Linked DNA regions of Macaca fascicularis. The protein of the gene in region 1 binds, or shares a complex with, the protein of each later gene. Links are inferred from orthologs where the notes say so. Each region holds a gene or a part of one and is shown in the gene's direction. Other genes may lie near its edges. The genes, in order: PEAK3 and YWHAB.

Region 1 (4,514 bases):
AAAAAAAGTATGGCATGGGACCCACTCGAAGGATGTTCATAAAGGAAAGGTAGTCTCCTTCCTCTCCTTCCCTTTCTCAGGGGATTGGGGGAGGCCAGGGGGACTCAGCAGTGGCTCTGTGGACCTCTGCTTCCAGCCTCGAGCTGCTGTGTGACCCTGGATGGAGCCCATATTGTCTCTGGGCCCATTTCCTTCAGGGAAATGGGATCGGGAACCCCTCATGAAACACACTCAATCTTTGCTGCAAGAACATCTTTGGGGCCGGGCAGGTTGGCTCACACTTGTGATCCTAGCACTTTGGGAGGCCGAGGCAGTGCAGCAGGACGAACCACAGACAAAACTCCTTAGACACTGGATTAAAGAAGGAAGTGGATTATTCGGCCGGGAGCATCGGCAGACTTGTGTCTTAAGAGCCGAGCTCCCCGAAAAAGACATTCTTGGCCTTTTTAAAGGCTCACAAGTTTAAAGGGTCCATGTGAAAGGGTCGTGATAAATCGAGCAAATGTGGGGAACGTGAATGGGGACTACAGGCATGAGCTAACAGACCAAAAAGTTTTACAATGCTTTTTCCATACAGTGTCTGGAATTTACAGACAACACAAGTAGTTTAGGTCAGGGGTCAATGTTATTATTATTACTTTTTTTTTTCTTTTGTTTTTTTTGAGACGGAGTCTCGCTCTGTCGCCCAGGCTGGAGTGCAGTGGCGCGATCTCGGCTCACTGCAAGCTCTGCCTCCTGGGTTCACGCCATTCTCCTGCCTCAGCCTCCCGAGTAGCTGGGACTACAGGCGCCCGCCACCACGCCCGGCTGATTTTTTGTATTTTTAGTAGAGACGGGGTTTCACCGTGTTAGCCAGGATGGTCTCGATCTCCTGACCTCGTGATCCGCCCACCTCAGCCTCCCAAAGTGCTGGGATTATAGGTGTGAGCCACCGCGCCCCGCCTATTATTACTTTTTTTAACTCCTAGGGCCGGATGGTTTTGCCAAGGTTGTCTGGCTATTTATCTTACTTTTGTTTCTTTCTAACTGTTTGCTTTGTCTCTCTCCTCCTGTCTTGTGAACTAGGCAAGGTGAGGGGAGGAGGGCAGCAGGAGGAGTAGTGGGCTCCTTCCCTAGCCAGAGGATCGCCCCAGGAGTTCGTTGCAGGCTGCAGTGAGCTGCGATTGCCCCACTGCGCTCCAGCCCGGGCAACAGTGTGAGACCCTGTCTCCAAAAAAAAAAAAAAAAGAAGACAGTTTTGACAGGCACACACTTCAGCTGGAATTTCACCCCGCGTCTGCTTTTCCTTGGGTTTTTTCCATTCTTGATTTTTCCATTTATGGTGATTTTATCTACAACGTCTTTTCTAAATAAATGCATCGAGGCAGTGAGGAAGGGGGAAGGGGGAAAGTGAGCCGATTCCGTTTTTTCGAAGAGAAATCCAGCAGGCGGGGCTGTTACCAGGCGGGATGCGGGAGACGCTTTTCTTTATTGGCCAGAGCACGGAGAGGGGCGGGGATTTGTCCACAGTCACACAGCCAGGCGCTGCAGAGCCGGGAGGGTCCTCGCCCACACTCCGCATTCGGGGGCCCTGGGATCGGGCAGGGGGCCGCTGGGGGCTCCTCAAGATGCTGCCACAGGAGGGGAGGCGGTTCCCGGGGAAATGAAACCCACAGACCCCACTTTCACCTTCTCCAGGGACAGCCGTCACCACGTTCTGTGCCCTCCCTACGGTGGGCCAGCTCTGCCCCTCTGCCCATCTCACAGGGCTCCTCACTGCCCCTACCCCAGCCTGGCCTCTGAGGCTGTCAGCCCTGGTGCTATTGACTTTCAGATCCCACCTCCTGGTCTCCGTCCGGGCTGTTCCCTCCGCCCGGGATGCTGTTCCCGGCTACATCCTGTCCTCTGAGGGCGGGCAGGGGAGGGGGCGGCCGCAGTTGGTGGGGAAGTGTTGCCGAAATGCCCCCGCCCCACCCCGGGCTGCGGTCTGACAGTTGGCCGGACGTTTTCCTGTCAGCTGCCGGCGCTAGGTCAGACCCCTCCTGCGAGGCCAGGGGCTGTGGCCATTGGGAGTTCGTCCCCCAGGACCCCTCCTCCCCCAGAGGGCACGCCAGTCTTGAAGGTAGGGGGCTCCTGGAGCAGGGAGCTGGACAGAAGCGGTTACTTTTTCAGGTTGGGATCTGGGCGGGGGTGGGTTGGGGCCTGGTTGCCGACAGCAACCGCACAGCTGAGCCCTCAGGGAGGAGGCCTGAGTGTGGATCCCTGGGTCCCTGGACACTGTCTCCCCCACAACTGACCCCCAAAGACCTGTTCTCAGGCTGAACATTCTGTCCCCATCCCAAATGTGCAGTGGGGGTTCCTTCCCACTGCCTGGAAGATTGATGGATGACACACCTGCCTCATGATTGAGGAAGTAGGCCCAGAGAGGGCAGAAAACCCACTCGGGATCACACAGCAGGGTCAAAACTGGACAAGGGAGTGGAGTGTGGGTGCCCCTGTTCTCACCAAGGGCCCTGGAGCAGGGGGCCTCAACGGTCTCCCATGCTGTAGCACTCACGGACCCCTCCCATGTCGCCCTGTGCGTGCGCCACCCCACCACGCCCCGTCTGACCTTCCCCCAGCAACATGAGCAGCCCGGAGACTCCCACAGAGCCCCCCGAGCCCGACGACCCCACCTGGTCGACTCAGCCCACATATAGCAACCTCGGTGAGCAGCTCCCCGGGGAGCCCTGGGCCGGGGGCGTGCAGGGAGCGGCAGGGGGTGGAGGACACCGTGGCCTCTGGGAACAGCAGCAGTTGGTAAAATGAGTGACCTCAGGAAGGCCCGGAGTGGGCGAGGGCTGAAAAATAACCTGTGGGTTGGTGGGCGGGGTGTGTTGGCTCACGCCTGTAATCCCAGCACCTTGGGAGGCCGAGGCGGGTGGATCCCTTGAGTCCAGGAGACCAGCCTGGGCAACATAATGAGACCCCCCCAATCTCTACAAAAAAAAAATAATAATAATAAGATGGACATGGTGTCAAGCGCCTGCAGTCCCAGCTACTGGGGAGGCTGAGGCAGGAGGATCCCTTGAGCCCAGGAGGTCAAGGCTGCAGTGAGCCATGAATTGGAAAAAAAATATATACCATTAAAAAGAGAGAGGGAGGCCGGGCACGGTGGCTCAAGCCTGTAATCCCAGCACTTTGGGAGGCCGAGACGGGTGGATCACGAGGTCAGAAGATCGAGACCATCCTGGCGAACATGGTGAAACCCCGTCTCTACTAAAAAAAAAAAAATACAAAAACTAGCCGGGCGAGATGGCGGGCGCCTGTAGTCCCAGTTACTTGGGAGGCTGAGGCAGGAGAATGGCGTAAACCCGGGAGGCGGAGCTTGCAGTGAGCTGAGATCCAGCCACTGCACTCCAGCCGGGGCGACAGAGTGAGACTCCGTCTCAAAAAAAAAAAAAAAAAAAAAAAGAGAGAGGGGCTGGGCACGGTAACTCATGCCTGTAATCCCACCCTTTAATCCCAGCACTTTGGGAGATCAAGGAGGAGGATCACTTGAGGCCAGGAGTTCAAGACCAGTCTGGCCAACATGGCAAAACCAGTCTCTGCTAAAAATACAAAAATTAGTGGCCGGGCGCGGTGGCTCAAGCCTGTAATCCCAGCACTTTGGGAGGCCGAGAAGGGTGGATCACGAGGTCAGGAGATCGAGACCACCCTGGCTAACACGGTGAAACCCCGTCTCTACTAAAAAATACAAAAAAACTAGCCGGGCGAGGTGGCGGGCGTCTGTAGTCCCAGCTACTCGGGAGGCTGAGGCAGGAGAATGGCGTAAACCCGGGAGGCGGAGCTTGCAGTGAGCTGAGATCCGGCCACTGCACTCCAACCTGGGTGACAGAGCGAGACTCCGTCTCAAAAAAAAAAAAAAAAAAAAATACAAAAATTAGCCAGACATGGTAGTGGACGCCTATAATTCCAGCTACTCGAGAGGCTGAGGCAGGAGACTTCCTTGAACCTGGGAGGCAGAGGTTTCAGGGAGCCAAGATTGAGCCACTGTACTCCAGCCTGGGCGACAGAGGGAGACTCTATCTCAAAAAAAAAAAAAAAAAAAAAAAGGCCGGGTGCGATGATTCAAGCCTGTAATCCTAGCACTTTAGGAGGCTGAGTCAGGCAGATCGCCTGAGGTCAGGAGTTTGAAACCAGCCTGGCTAATATGGTGAAACCCCATCTCCACTACTAAAAATACAAAAATTAGCCGGGCATAGTGGCGGGTGCCTGTAATCCCAGCTACTCGGGAGGCTGAGGTGGGAGAATCGCTTGAACCCAGGAGACAGATGTTGCAGCGAGCCGAGATTGGGCCACTGCACTCCAGGCTGGGCGATAGAGCAAGACTTAAAAAAAAAAAAAAAGCCAGAGAGACACCTGCCCAAAGTCACAGAGGTAAGAGTAGGAGTCGCTGAGTGCTGGGTGGCACCATTCTCTGAAACTGATCCATCCTCCTATGAGCTTCAGTTTCCTCTTCTGTAAGCTCTGTCCCCCAGACTGGAGTGCGGTGG
Region 2 (4,277 bases), on another chromosome or scaffold:
GCAAAGGCCTATTTACTTGGCTCTTTCTCCTACCCGACTGCAAACTCCAAGACAGCAGGGCCCCATCTGCCTTGTTCATTGCTGTGTCTCCAGCACTAAGCAAAAAGTCTGTTCCACATTTGTTGAAAGAATAAATGAACAGGAGAGAGGGAAGGCGAGAGGCATTTTGAAGGACTGAGTTTAAAAATCAACTACCTTGAAGCCGGGCAAGGTGGCTCATGCCTGTAACTGTAATCCCAGCACTTCGAGAGGCTGAGGCGGGTGGATCACCTGAGGTCAGGAGTTTGAGACCAGCCTTGCCAATACGGCGAAGCCCCGTGTCTACTAAAAATACAAAAATGAACCGGGAGTGGTGGCATGCCCCTGTTATCCCAGCAACTCAGGAGGCTGAGGCAGGAGAATTGCTTGAACCTGGGAGGCACAGACTGCAGTGAGCCAAGACTGTGACACTACCTGGGCGACAGAGAGAGACTCTGTCTCAAAAACAGAAAACAAAACAAAACAAAATCAACTACCTTGAGAGGAGTAGAATGTCGGTAATTGTGAGAGCAGTCATGAGGGGAGGGGAGCCATGGAAGCCTGTTTCCTTCCCTGAACTTCCTCAAGGAGGGGGCATCTTAAAGACGGAATCATCTACACAGATTTTTGTGGGGTTTTCTTGGAGACAGGGTCTCACTCTGTCGCCCAGGTTGGAGTGCAGTGTCATGACCATAGCTCACTGCAGCCTACAACTCCTGGCCTCAAGCAATCCTCTCACCTCAGCTTCCAAAAGTGCTGAGACTACAGGCGCGAGCCACCGCGCTCGGCCCTACACAGGTTTTTGAAAAAGACCTTTGTGCGTTGGATTCCTGGCACTTCCAAGTGGCCTCTTCAGTCTACCAAAGAAGGAAAAAGTAAGTACTCCGAAGGATTGAAAGGAGGATTAAGGGAACATTGAGGGATGAGCAATTTCTGTTCTTCCCTACCTCCACTATTCCCAAAGCACACAGCAAGAGGACTGACATCGGCTTCCGACACCGTGAGGATTACTTTCTGGGTGGAGGGGGGACTGCTAAACCTCGAGTCTCCGTACCTGGCCCTGGCGCGTTTCCAGTCTGAGCAGAAAAGGAAACCCCCACCCAGACCTCACTCCTAGTCCTCCGGGTGCCTTTACAGCCCGTATCTTGACCACCCCCAGCTCCGCCCTCTCTCCTCCCACCTCCTTTTCCCGCTCCCCCGCCCCATTTCCTTCTTCTCCGCCCACCTCCTCCTGGGTCCCTCCCCCGGCCATGCGCCCTGCCCCGGCCGCGGCAACCCTGCCCTTCGTTCTTCTTCCTCCTCCCTTCCGTCAGCGCCCCTCCCGTGGGGCCGCGGCAACCCCGTGCCTCGCTTGCCCAATGAGAACACGGCGTGGGGCGGGGCGCGGCCAGGACCGGAGCGGAAGTGGTGACCGGAGCGGAAGTGGAGCTGCCGCCACCGCCGCCGCCGATTCCGGAGCCGGGGTAGTCGCCGCCGCTGCAGCCACTGCAGGCACCGCTTCCGCTGCCTGAGGAGTGGACTTGGGAAGGAAGAGGTCATCTCGCTTGGAGCTTCGCTCGGAAGGGTCTTTGTTCCCTGCAGCCCTCCCACGGTGAGTGCGGCGCGGGGTCCGACCGGGGCCCCCGGGGGCCCAAATTCGAAGCCCCTCTTTGGCAGCTGCGACGACGGCGGCCCAGCGGGTGGGCCCCGGGGGATAGCGGTGCGCTGCCTCTTCCGCTTCGCGCGGCCGCCGGCGGCGAGGCCAGGCCTCGCAGCGGCCCCTCCCTGTTTCCGGGGCCGGGCCCTTTACCTCTTGGAGAGGCCCGGGCCTCCCTCGCCGCCTAAGGTCCTGCCGGCCGGGCGGGGTGCAACTCTGTGCTGCACCGTGAGGGACAGCGGAGCCGAGGGTCCCGGACTCTCCCTCACTATCTGATTCGGTCCCTCACGCGACCCCTCCCTGCGTCTTGGTCGGCAAGAACCGTCCTCTTCAGCCCAGTCACCTCTGCTCCGTGCTTTCCGGTTTCCAGAAATTAAAATTTAATCAAACGCGGGTGAGTTTTCTAGCCCCAGTCCCCCTGTTTGACTCCTCCTGGATGAGTAAGGGGTTTAACCTTGGGAGACAGCAGTGGGGGAACCCCCTCCCATTTTGCAGTAAAACCATTTCATCATCCTTAACTGGTTATGGAGCCTGGCAGGACCCAAGATTCCCTAGGAAGGGAATTGGGTTTGAATCAAGGAAATGTGTTTGTTGGAGCCGGTTACTGAGTCAGGCCGGATCCCCAGGAAAAAATATCGGGATGAGAATCGGAATATTTTCCCACAGTATTTACCGTCATTTAATGCCAAATTCTTTTGTGTCTTTACCCCAAATTCCCCCTATTGTGTGTTAGCACGTTTTTCGGTCTGAAATTTGCCCGGTGGCTTCCTGGTCGGGGGGTGGGGAGCGGAGGGAAGAAGAGGTGGGAAGGTGAGTGCATCTTTGCCGCAAATGGAGAACTCCCATATAATGAGGTTTCCAGAGGTGGCAGCCTTGGTAAGCAATTTGCCAACCTTTCTGTGAAATGCATGTCTCTTGTCGTTGCCTTCATTGCATTTCTCTTTGGTAAGGCTAGATAGCATCAGGTCCTGATTTTGCTTACCCTGTGTGGGAGATGGAATTTGGCAAGATGATGCTATGAACATAAAATCAGCCTGCCACGGAAGCCAAAACAGAAAGGTGAAGCACTTATAAGAATATGAAAATTGTCTGCATTTCTCATTCTGTCAGTTCATATGAAGCCAGACACAGATGCAGTTTATGGAGCTGGACCCTGCAGCTTTTGCATTTTCATGTTGGAAATTTATATAAGTATTTGTTCTTGGTGAATTTCTTCTTGACTGCTTCCATGGTACCCTATTTCTTACTTAGGGATATCTCATTTGTTTGAGCCCTCATTTTTCTTGGATTCCTGTCCTTGGCAACACGAAGTGTATGAGTGTACAACCTGTCAATCTTATTGGACCTGAGTTAGAAATTTAAGTGTGGCTTTCAAAATGGAAGGCAAATAATCCTGTAGCAACTGCAGAATTATTTTCCTAGCCTGCCCCTCCAATGAGATAAGAAACCATTCACCTATCTTGCAGATGAAGTCTTTATGAGAAATGAGGTGATTTGGCCTAGACTCTACACCTAGTTTTTTTCAAATTGAATATCCTCATTCATCAGTAGCAAATATGGATTGCCAGCCCCTGGAGTATGACTCCTACCCTATAATCTTTTGTACATTTCCCGTCTTGCAGTGCTTGCTATATTGAAGCCATTTTAGAATTGGAGCACTATAGATCAGGGAGGCAGCCTGTATAAAACCAGGCTGAGCAAATTCCCACGATGCTGGTTCTCTAGGCAGAGTCTCCAGAGATTTGGGCCTCTACAAAAAGTGCATTTTGCCCATTTGGCTGTGGATAGAGAAGCAGGAAGAGCACTGGACTTGGAGTCAGGTAAATTTGGTTGAAATCTTGCCTGCAATATTTTCTAGCTTTCTGAATCTTCAGCATGTTAGTCTATGGTTCTTAGTTTTCTTATCTCCAGGGTTATCATTAAGCCTTTTTTATAAACTGTAAATTGTTAAATAGAAGCTTTTGGTTTTTTAATTAGAGTTCACTATTAATGGCTTTTTCTCTCCAGTTAACATCTGATGACACTAAACCCTGCTTTGTACACAAGTTGCTTTCAAAAAATGGTATATTATTATGGGACTTTATTTTGCATGTAGGCAAATCTAGTCTTTCTGAATCATTTTCTCATCTATATAGCGCAAATGGTAATGCAGCTTTGGATAATTTTTGTTGTGACAAGCTCAATGAAAATAAGCATCTGGGATATAGTTGGGGTTCAATAGATGTTTAACCATCTGCATGAATATACACGTGTATAGATTAGACATAGCATATGTGCTATTCATGGACATCTATATAGAATCCATCCATTTGTGATTTATCTGATGAGGTGGTATCAATTAGTCTATAATAATAATTACCACTTACAGTACTTACTGTGTGCTAAGCTTTCTTTTAAGCACTTTAAGCATATTAGCTCAGTCTTCATAACAACCAATGAAAGGTAAGACTATTAGCCCCATTTTACAGATGAGGAAACTAAGGCACTGAGAAGAATAATTTTCCCGAGGTCTCACACACAGCACAAGGTAAGTGCCAGAACCAGGAATGAAACCAGATGATCTGGTTGTAAGGAATGATATTATAGATTTCTACGTGTGGTAGAGACAGCACATGTATATGTT

The links.
Region 2: the proteins of PEAK3 (region 1) and YWHAB are in contact, whole or in part, in a cryo-EM structure (PDB 8DP5), measured with the Homo sapiens proteins. The link is inferred for Macaca fascicularis from reciprocal best matches to the Homo sapiens genes PEAK3 and YWHAB. Residues at the interface, in NP_940934.1 of Homo sapiens: Arg66, Thr67, Gln68, Ser69, Leu70, Pro71, Thr72, Arg73; in NP_003395.1 of Homo sapiens: Val48, Lys51, Asn52, Arg58, Lys122, Arg129, Tyr130, Gly171, Leu174, Asn175, Val178, Glu182, Ile219, Leu222, Asn226, Leu229, Trp230.

Annotation. Positions count from the first base shown.
Region 1 is NC_088393.1:2,936,616-2,941,129, reverse strand, and holds the start of PEAK3 (protein PEAK3), read left to right. Parts: upstream 1-1,507; 5' UTR 1,508-2,101; intron 2,102-2,529; 5' UTR 2,530-2,604; coding exon 2,605-2,686; intron 2,687-4,514.
Region 2 is NC_088384.1:100,980,574-100,984,850, forward strand, and holds the start of YWHAB (14-3-3 protein beta/alpha), read left to right. Parts: upstream 1-1,436; 5' UTR 1,437-1,609; exon of another isoform or gene 1,610-2,048; intron 2,049-3,379; 5' UTR 3,380-3,474; intron 3,475-4,277. UniProt on the Homo sapiens protein: Adapter protein implicated in the regulation of a large spectrum of both general and specialized signaling pathways. Binds to a large number of partners, usually by recognition of a phosphoserine or phosphothreonine motif.